3 linked regions of the Saccharomyces cerevisiae S288C genome follow. Changing the gene in region 3 together with the main gene of any one other region gives a genetic interaction. Each region holds a gene or a part of one and is shown on either strand. Other genes may lie near its edges.

Region 1 (3,759 bases), on a different chromosome or scaffold from region 3:
ATTCCTGCAGGATATTTGAACGGTAACATTTTCTATATTTGTATCAGCTGCAGGAAGTCCATAAAGCGACACCCTACCTAAGTTCAGATAAATTCTTTCTGCTTGGCTAAACATGGTATCATAAAAGTATGTGGGAATAGATCTTATCGGTACTAAAGATGTGGAGAGCACTTTTTCCGCCTCTTGTTTGCCTATAATTTCCTTTACAGTTACCGATAAAGAAACAGCCCTAGGGTTCACAGAAACGCCTTCAGAAGAATCTTTTATTATCTTATTTATTAACCCGCCCCAACCTAAATCCGCATCCTTTGAAGAGTTGAAGTTTTGCGAATCCGAGGAATCGGAGCTATAAAGATAAAGGTTAAACCTCTGAGCTTTATTCGCAACTGATAGGCCGTTATAAAACTTGAATACCGGAGATATGTTAATAACTCCGGCAGCTAAGCCCTTTTTTACGTGGTCAATCTTATTCTCAGTCGATGAATTAAATGGAGAAAATGGGGAATGTGAACTTGACTCTTCGGTAGATATATTGTAAGATGAAATTTCCGGAGCAGTTTCTGTTGTAATTGCTATTGTTTCCTTCAGCACTACTACTAAGTATACTTTATTTTTATGGACTATCGTTTCCAAAATATTCTTGAATAACATTGCAGGAATTTCATCTAGAGCTGATTCCATATTGGACGACTTCGTCATGGTAAAAGACTCTGTTAAAACTTCGTCTTTGGTTCTCAAGTATACACAAATAGAAAGATCTTGATATTTAGGATCTGATATAGAGGGATCCCATGCCAGATCTTTCAAGTTAACCAAAATGCTCGATCTAACTGTGCCGAATAGTCCGTTAGATGAGGACTCATCATCGGACTCTACCACAGGTACAGTAGGAAAATTATTAGTTAAACCACAAAGCATTGACGATGACACTAAAGTTCTTAATTTGTCGATCTCGTATGAGAGCAATTCGCCAGTATCAATATCCCTGGCAAAAATTCCTTCGAAACCATAAGGATCTGGGTTTCTTGGAGTAGAGTTAGCAATTAGTTTATTCTTCCTGTATGTGGAGGACAAAAATTTTGCGATTTTAGTTCTTAGGGATGTTGCTGCTCTTATCAGATTTATTTTCTCAGCCTCTGTGGTTAAATTCATAGACAATCTAAATCGTATAGTGTCCAAATCATAATAAAGTTTTATCATTTTCCTATATATAGAAAACTCGCCAATTGAATACATAGAGTAAACATGCGAGGAAATAAGAGATAATATAGGACCCATTTCGTCCTTAAAGGACCTCTTTTGGTATCTGAAAAAGGGGAACGGAGGTCTCGGTGTCTTTCTTGGTTTACCAGTTGATATATCATCAGTAGAGCTAACATATAGGCTGTCACAAAAGGAGCGGGACTCACATTCTTTACTTATCAATGGTTTAAAATCCTCAGCACTAGGTGCTTTGAAAAATGGCATTGTGCTGACGGCTTTTTCTGCTTCAAAATGAACATATTTTCTAGGAAATATCACTACTTTCGGTTTCACGTCTGGCAGTACATCATTCGCCGAGTTCATATTCGATATGAATTCTTCAGGAAAGGGTCGTAAACATTGGTACGCTCTACACCATTTCTTATCCACAGATTCTTCGAAGACGTAAACTTCTGCACCCACATAAACGTTCGCATAATTGCTGTTTTCATATACCAGCTCAGGATACCTTTGTAAGGGAAGGAAAGATTTGACTAGCACACCATATATTAGCCGATCCGTGGGCAGCCAGCGCTGTGAATCCTGTTGCGACATTGTAATAGTAATCTCCCTAAAGAAAAAAAGACCCCTGTTTTATATGACTAATCTTCGGTCCTCTATAATTTCAATTGAAGCAATAATTGACTGAGTGGTGTACAAACGGTTGCTTGAACCATTTATATTATTTTCAACTCATCAAGTCATCCCCTCCTTGATATGCGTTATTGATATATTTCAGTTAAAATTCCTCCGTATTTCGTGATATATTATTCGCGAGGTGGCGAAAGCTTTGCTACTAAATACTCTACTATGACCAGTAGATTAGGTTCTATAAGGGTGCCAGAAAACTACCTAAGTGCTGGTTGACTTATAAATTTTAAAAGAGTGTTGATGAGTATGAGTTCAACTGTAATTAAATTCAGGGCTGGTGTTTGTGAATACAACGAAGATTCACGTCTATGTACGCCAATTCCAGTTCAGGGTGAAATCGAGATCAAACCAAATGAAGAGGAAGAATTGGGATTTTGGGATTTCGAGTGGCGTCCAACGGAAAAGCCGGTCGGGAGGGAACTTGATCCTATTTCTTTGATTTTAATTCCTGGAGAGACCATGTGGGTTCCAATAAAATCCAGTAAAAGTGGCAGAATATTTGCTTTAGTTTTTTCATCCAACGAAAGGTACTTCTTTTGGCTGCAAGAGAAGAACTCAGGTAATTTGCCCTTAAATGAATTGAGTGCGAAAGATAAAGAAATTTACAATAAGATGATTGGAGTGCTGAATAATAGTAGTGAAAGTGATGAGGAAGAAAGCAATGACGAAAAGCAAAAAGCTCAAGATGTGGATGTTAGTATGCAAGATTAAATCAAGGTTGTGGCATTTTTTGATAAAAAACTGAAGAGAAAAAATATACCATATCAACGCATTTGGCTGTGAACTTCTGTAAAGAGATACGGACCATAACAATAGGCATGATGATGGCATCTATAACTTCTATTGGAAGGTAAGTTTATTTTTCCCATAAATATGTATATATGGTCTATACTCTCAAATGAGCCTACATATTGTTGCATATTAACGAGGTTCCCATCTCACCGACCAACTTAGTTTATCACCTGCTTTAAATGGGATGATGCTTATGTCTTTGCCATCGCTGATAACCTGAGGGATAACTTGTTCTTTTTTGAATAATATTGCCTTATCTGAAGAAGCCACTTCGCTATCTTTAACCTCATAAAAGGAAATTCCGAAGTCGGAAACAAAGCCCTTTAAGTTCTCCAAGGCATTTTGCTCTTCAAAAACTTGGGCGATATAAGGGATCGCAAAAGATTGTGAGTAAACTCCTGCGCAAACACCCTCGTAATTGGCCTTATTTTGTACAGGATGAGGTGCTGAATCAGATCCAAAGAAAAAATATGGTTTCCCTGATACAGCAGCTTTGACTAGAGCCTTTTTGTCATTTGGAAGTTTCGCAACAGGTTTGCAAAAATTTACCGGATTTCCGGCCCAATCATCAATTGTTAAAAATAAGTGATGAGCCGTTAATGTGGCAGCAACCTTTACGTCAGTGGCTTTCTTCACGTTCTTATTTATATCCTCGATTGTCTTTATTGCCGACTCGCTAGTGCAGTGTTCCAGAATTATTTTCAGGTTTGGGAAATCATTATGCAATTTTTTCAAGGCTGGCAAAAAGGCTTCCTCTGCATTCAATACATGAATAGGTTCTTTGTCTCCATCATGGACAGAAGGTTTTTCCCCATGCAAATTTAATACCAGGTTCTCTTCTTGCATAGCCTTGAAAATTGGGTAAAATGCGCTGAAGTCATTTGGATCCACCCCAGCAGCCGAATTTGTTGTTACTCCCGCTGGATAACACTTTACTCCACGAATGGCATGTTGTTGGGCAGCTTCATGAATTAAATCTGGAGTTAAGTCTTTTGAAAGATAAAAACTCATTAAGAAGGTAGTTTTAGGAGCTAGTTTCTGCAGTGTCTTTTTGTATTCAATCACTCTATCTAG
Region 2 (3,759 bases), on a different chromosome or scaffold from region 3:
ACCTTCAACGACGCTGCTCAGCACCGCTGCATGGCCCTTGTCGAGTGTGTCGCCTTTTTGTGGGCTAGTGAGGCCATCCCATTACACATTACAGCATTCCTTGTACCACTACTTGTAGTCCTTTTCAAAGTCCTAAAAACCTCCGACGGGGCTATAATGAGTGCTGCAAGCGCTTCATCAGAAATTTTGGCCGCCATGTGGTCTTCTACAATTATGATTCTGCTGGCAGGTTTTACTTTGGGTGAAGTACTTGCACAATATAACATCGCCAAAGTTCTTGCCTCGTGGTTGTTGGCCTTCGCTGGTTGTAAACCCAGAAACGTTCTTTTAATGGCAATGTGTGTCGTGTTCTTCCTATCAATGTGGATTTCCAATGTCGCAGCACCTGTTCTAACATATTCGTTGTTATCTCCCCTATTGGATGCCATGGATGCAGATAGCCCATTTGCGCAAGCATTGGTGTTAGGTGTAGCGTTGGCTGCAAATATCGGTGGTATGTCTTCACCAATCTCTTCACCTCAAAACATCATTTCCATGTCGTACTTGAAACCCTATGGTATTGGCTGGGGCCAATTCTTTGCTGTTGCATTGCCATCTGGTATCCTGGCCATGCTTTTGGTTTGGATTTTATTGTTCACTACTTTCAAGATGAATAAGACCAAATTGGAAAAATTTAAGCCTATTAAGACGAAATTCACAGTTAAGCAGTATTATATCATTACTGTCACTGTGGCCACTATTTTGTTGTGGTGTGTGGAAAGCCAGATTGAAGGTGCTTTTGGGTCATCAGGTCAAATTGCAATCATTCCCATCGTTTTGTTTTTTGGTACCGGATTACTATCAACACAAGATTTAAATGCCTTTCCGTGGTCAATCGTTATTTTGGCAATGGGAGGTATTGCTTTGGGGAAGGCCGTCTCATCCTCGGGTTTGCTATCAACCATTGCAAAAGCATTACAAAAGAAAATTGAGAATGATGGTGTTTTTGCCATTCTATGTATTTTCGGTATCCTGATGTTGGTTGTGGGTACTTTCGTCTCGCATACAGTATCCGCTATTATCATCATTCCCTTGGTGCAAGAAGTTGGTGACAAGCTTGGCAACCCCAAAGCTGCTCCTATCCTTGTTTTCGGTTGTGCATTATTGTCATCCTGTGGTATGGGACTAGCTTCTTCGGGGTTCCCCAATGTCACTGCCATCTCTAAAGTAGATAGAAAGGGCGATCGCTATTTAAGTGTCATGACTTTCTTAACGAGAGGTGTTCCAGCTTCTATTTTGGCTTTCCTATGTGTCATTACTCTAGGTTATGGTATCATGGCATCTGTTGTCAAGGGTAACGCAACCTCTGCGTAAGAGATACGTCTACGATAGCATGTAACAGCGTATATATAATCTATATGTATTCGATTAATCCAACACTTCTGTTGTGTAGTCTAATGTTCGAAAAAAAGGTACGCTTCCCTGTTATAATCAGGTATATTTCGTTATTCTTATAAGCTAAAAGATTAAAAATTTTTCCACTTTCCTTGAAATTTGGTCGGTTCGTGGAAAAATATTATTACGTATTGAAGAAGTGCATGAAGATAAAAGATGGGATTACTGGAAAAATAAAGGGAGGAAAATCCTGCAGAACGTTGTTGTTTCAATCGAAGGTTTCTTCATTCGAAAATGGGTTCTTCAGATGTTTCAAGTCGTGAATGTTCATTGGTTTATAATGAAGATCCCGATTTCACCGATGGCACAACACCATGTGATCGGTTGGGAGTGGACTTGATGAATGTTCTAGATGACAAGGATGAAATAAAGCAAGAGTCTGTCCCAGTCTCAGATCGTGAAATTGAGGATACGGAATCCGATGCTTCCGCTGTTTCTTCATTTGCTAGCGCTAATGAGTTAATAGCTGAGCCACACGCTGCAAGTGAAACTAATCTTGGAACTAATGGTCAAGATGGAAGAAATGTCTTAGAACAACAAAGAGACGTGGTTGCTAGACTAATAGAAGAAAACAAGGAAACGCAAAAAGAGGGTGATAAAGTCTGTATTGTCCCCAAGGTTTGGTACGATAAATTTTTCGACCCCGATGTTACCGATCCTGAAGATATAGGCCCTATTAATACACGCATGATTTGCAGAGACTTTGAAAATTTTGTGCTTGAGGATTACAATAGATGTCCGTATCTGTCTATTGCAGAGCCTGTTTTCAATTTTCTATCAGAAATTTACGGCATGACAAGTGGCTCTTACCCAGTGGTAACTAATTTGGTTATCAACCAAACCACAGGGGAGTTAGAGACAGAATACAATAAATGGTTTTTCAGACTACATTACCTGACCGAAAAACAAGACGGGAGGAAAAGGAGGCATGGCCAGGACGATTCAATAATGTACCTCTCGATGTCTGCGTTGAATTTAGTACGTGATTTGGTTGAAAAGAGTATGAATCTGTTTTTTGAGAAAGCTGATCATCTAGACGTGAATGCGGTGGATTTTAAAATTTGGTTTGTGTCAGAGGGATCTGATATTGCCACAGATAGCAATGTTAGTACTTTTTTGAATTCTTCATATGAAATAACTCCGCTTCAATTTCTCGAACTACCGATAAAGAAACTACTAATACCAGACATGTTTGAAAACCGTTTAGACAAGATAACTTCAAATCCGAGTGACCTTGTCATAGAAATTAAACCTATAGAAGGGAATCACCATTGGCCTTCAAACTATTTTGCTTATAATAAACTCGAACCAGCATCAGGTACTACTGGTTTGGTCAATTTGGGAAATACATGTTACATGAATTCTGCGTTGCAATGCCTGGTACACATTCCGCAGTTGCGTGATTATTTCCTTTATGATGGTTATGAAGACGAAATCAATGAAGAAAATCCTCTTGGGTACCACGGCTATGTGGCTAGGGCATTTAGTGACTTGGTTCAGAAGTTGTTTCAAAACAGGATGAGCATAATGCAAAGAAATGCTGCTTTCCCCCCTTCAATGTTCAAATCCACTATCGGGCACTTTAATTCGATGTTTTCTGGTTATATGCAACAGGATTCTCAAGAATTTTTAGCCTTCCTGTTAGACAGTTTACATGAAGATTTGAACAGGATAATAAAGAAAGAATACACAGAAAAACCATCATTATCTCCTGGTGATGACGTGAATGATTGGAATGTAGTCAAGAAACTGGCAGACGATACTTGGGAGATGCATTTAAAGAGAAATTGTTCCGTTATAACGGATTTATTTGTCGGGATGTACAAATCAACGCTATATTGTCCCGAATGTCAAAATGTTTCTATAACGTTTGACCCGTATAATGATGTTACATTGCCGCTTCCGGTTGATACAGTGTGGGATAAAACTATAAAAATTTTTCCCATGAACTCTCCACCACTTCTTCTTGAAGTTGAGTTAAGCAAATCGTCCACTTATATGGACTTGAAGAATTATGTTGGTAAAATGTCGGGCCTAGATCCAAATACACTATTTGGCTGTGAGATTTTCAGTAATCAAATCTATGTTAACTATGAGTCAACAGAGTCGAATGCTCAATTTTTAACCTTGCAGGAATTGATCAAACCTGCTGATGACGTTATTTTTTATGAATTACCAGTAACAAATGACAATGAAGTAATTGTTCCCGTATTGAATACTAGAATTGAAAAAGGCTACAAAAATGCAATGTTATTTGGAGTCCCTTTCTTTATTACGTTAAAAGAAGATGAATTGAATAATCCAGGTGCAATAAGAATGAAATTG
Region 3 (2,880 bases):
AGACCCTTTGGAGAGCTTTTGTGTAATGGAGCGTAACGAAAATATCATACCATACAGAAGTTTTGCATCTTCTTCATTCTGTTTGGAGTTTATTGTACCACTTGCGCTATTGGACGCCAATGTCCATTCTCTATCAAATATACAGTTACAATGCCTATCAAAGATCCAAAATGAATATATCCCCATGCTCCACTGATTTATGATTTATATCAAAAGCAGATTATCTTACGATAGTTCTGTATTTTTTTTTTGTATTTTTTCTGTAATGTATGTTGGAACTCAATTGTCGAAAATATAAGATCCGGAAATTCTTCAACACTAGTCAATAGTAAAGGACAACATTTCGACTGAGGCAAACCAGAATAAAAGTTGGTTGATTTTTTATGAGCCAGCGAGTCTATATAAAATAAAACACTATAAACAGATATAATTCGTAGACATAGAGATAACGCATACCTTATATGCTAGAAATATGAGAGACCTTAGCTTCATATAAGCCTTCATAACTCACCAGCTTCTTCGATAACGATTTCAGCTCTTGGTTTACCAGAAGCAGTACCGTATGATTCGATTGCTTTGACAATGTCCATACCTTTGGTTACCTCACCAAAGACAACGTGTTTTCCATCCAACCATGGACAAGGCACAGTGGTAATGAAGAATTGAGAACCGTTAGTGTTTGGTCCAGCATTTGCCATAGATAACAAACCTGCCTTGTCATGCTTTTTGACAAAATTTTCGTCAGCGAACTTGGAACCGTAAATGGATTTGCCCCCAAAACCGTTAGTCAAATCAGTGTCACCACCTTGGATCATGAAGTCTGGGATGATTCTGTGGAAAGGGACACCTTTATAGCCCCAGCCCTTTTCGCCGGTACATAAGGCTCTGAAATTTTCAGCAGTTTTAGGAACCACATTATCATATAATTCAAATTCTATTCTGCCGATTTTGGTTCCATTGACCGCAGGATCAAAGAACACTTTTTTACCTAGTCTAGAAGCAGAATTGGAGAATAAGCGGGACTGTTGAATGATGGAACGTTTAAACATGGTAAGTAGACCTTTGTAGTTGCTTGCTTTTTTTTTTGTTTCTTTATGGAATTAAATAGGAAAAAAATATTGAGTTTATTAATAATCGCGGTGCGAAAGGACTAAAATAATTCTTATTGGTTATTTTGATAATAACTAAGTACAAAAGTTCAAGCTAAAAAAGCTAACTCAGCTGCCTTTTCAGGTCCCACAAGATGTTTCAGTTCATCTTCACCCTTCAAGAAGGTATGGTCCTCAAAGTCAAAACCTGGTACCACTACTTCACTAATCAAGAAACCGTTGTCAAATTCTTCGTTTGGCAGAAGGAAACTTGCCTTAAACACACCTCCGGGGACAACCCATTGCGAGACTTCTCCATTCTTATAGTCAAAACCAACTTTAAATGACTTCACTTGACCATCAGGATATACTAGAACGTATTGACCCTTGCCTCTTTGTAAGATATGTATGATCCTGTTAATATTCTTATGAAATTTCCCAATTGGGCTGTCGGGGGTTAGTAGATAATAGATCAACGTAGATTGATTTCTTGTTACCATTTCAGTATTACCTGAGCCTCCATTTACTGGTTTTTCTACTTCCATGGTGTAGGGAGACCTATCTGTTTCCTTAAAATACCCACCTTCTCTATGCTTGATTAATTGCCAATCATTGATCAATTGTTGCAAACTACTTGGTGGCTCAGGCATTGGGACTTTAACGAAACTGGCCGGCTCTATAGCTGCATTTGCAGCTTCTTGTACATTGGCTGACATGCTCTCTATGGCGAATTCTGATTGAATATACAAGTGTTCAAATTGAAAGAAGTTTTCTTATGGAGACGGAGTTGAACATTTTCTGTTTGAATTAATATACATACATAAAAACTATACTTAGAGAAAAGAATAGAAAAGGCAAAGAAATATACATGGATTTTATCAGGTTTTAAGCTTTCACGTCCTTCTTTTTATCAGCAGATTCTAATGGCACGTCAGCTTTACGTTTCTTGTTCACGCTTTCATCTATGAGGCCTTGCATAACTCTTTTATCACCTGTGATACCGTTAACAGGCCTAAAATATGGTTGACATCTCCAGTATGGAACAGTTCTATATGAACCACCCCATGATTGCTTTTCGCCGATAGTAATTTCATCCTTAATAGCGATATCTGGCTGTTCAAATATTTCTTGCACTACTTTTTCGACAGGCTTCACTACTTGTTCCTCCCATTCTTCCCACGTGGCTTTTGCATTCATAGTAGCAAGTGTTGACCTAATATCAGTATGATGCGGCAAGAAAGGCCTTAAAATCTTAAAAAAATGTGATTTCATTGCTGTCTTGGAGGCTTTAGATTCCTGGCATTCTTTGACAATCTGGAAATACTCTCTGATAATCTTATCTACGCGTGGAAATATCTTCTCCTTGTTCTTAGTTTGGCCTACATTGAAAACACCAGGATTGTATAAGTTCCCCTCAGCACTCATCACTGCGTCAGCACCGATATGTTCCATACAACGTGAAATATCTTCAGGATATAAGATATTCCCGTTAGCAAAAAACACGGTTTCTTTAGGTAAATTATCTCTTAGGTATTTGATTGTTTCCCAGTTAGCTAAACCAGTTTTTTGTCCTTTTTGCTCTCTTACTCTCCCATGGACGGTTAAAAATTGAGCTCCAGCATCCAGCACCATCTTGGCGTAATTCAAACTCTTTTCACAGTCGTCAAATATACGTATTTTTGCTGTAACTGGAACTTTCAAATTTTTGTGCAAGGTGTTGATTAAATTGTGTATAAGGTCCCATTCTTCCATCAAAAATGACCCATAGTGACCTTTCTTAGCTATGCCTTGA

The links.
Region 1: mutations in CPR3 (region 3) and DCK1 together harm fitness less than expected from each alone (positive genetic interaction), as found in Saccharomyces cerevisiae (one large-scale study listed by BioGRID).
Region 2: mutations in CPR3 (region 3) and UBP12 together harm fitness less than expected from each alone (positive genetic interaction), as found in Saccharomyces cerevisiae (one large-scale study listed by BioGRID).

The regions. Positions count from the first base shown.
Region 1 is NC_001144.5:963,935-967,693, reverse strand, and holds the start of DCK1 (guanine nucleotide exchange factor DCK1), read right to left. Parts: upstream 1,798-3,759; coding exon 1-1,797. Other genes in the region: proteasome regulatory particle lid subunit RPN13, read left to right, coding at 2,134-2,604; URA4 (dihydroorotase), read right to left, coding at 2,815-3,759. UniProt on the Saccharomyces cerevisiae protein: Forms a transiant heterodimeric complex with LMO1, that acts as a guanine nucleotide exchange factor exchange factor (GEF) for the small GTPase RHO5. DCK1, LMO1 and RHO5 relocate to mitochondria upon oxidative stress and trigger cell death.
Region 2 is NC_001142.9:62,137-65,895, forward strand, and holds the start of UBP12 (putative ubiquitin-specific protease UBP12), read left to right. Parts: upstream 1-1,668; coding exon 1,669-3,759. Other genes in the region: PHO90 (SPX domain-containing inorganic phosphate transporter), read left to right, coding at 1-1,353. UniProt on the Saccharomyces cerevisiae protein: Ubiquitin carboxyl-terminal hydrolase that recognizes ubiquitin chains that stabilize FZO1 and promote mitochondrial fusion. UBP12 deubiquitylates FZO1 only after oligomerization.
Region 3 is NC_001145.3:109,171-112,050, reverse strand, and holds CPR3 (peptidylprolyl isomerase CPR3), read right to left. Parts: upstream 1,050-2,880; coding exon 501-1,049; downstream 1-500. Other genes in the region: TRAPP subunit BET5, read right to left, coding at 1-186; CFF1 (Cff1p), read right to left, coding at 1,199-1,804; DUS1 (tRNA dihydrouridine synthase), read right to left, coding at 1,974-2,880. UniProt on the Saccharomyces cerevisiae protein: PPIases accelerate the folding of proteins. It catalyzes the cis-trans isomerization of proline imidic peptide bonds in oligopeptides. This isozyme is required for growth on lactate at high temperature.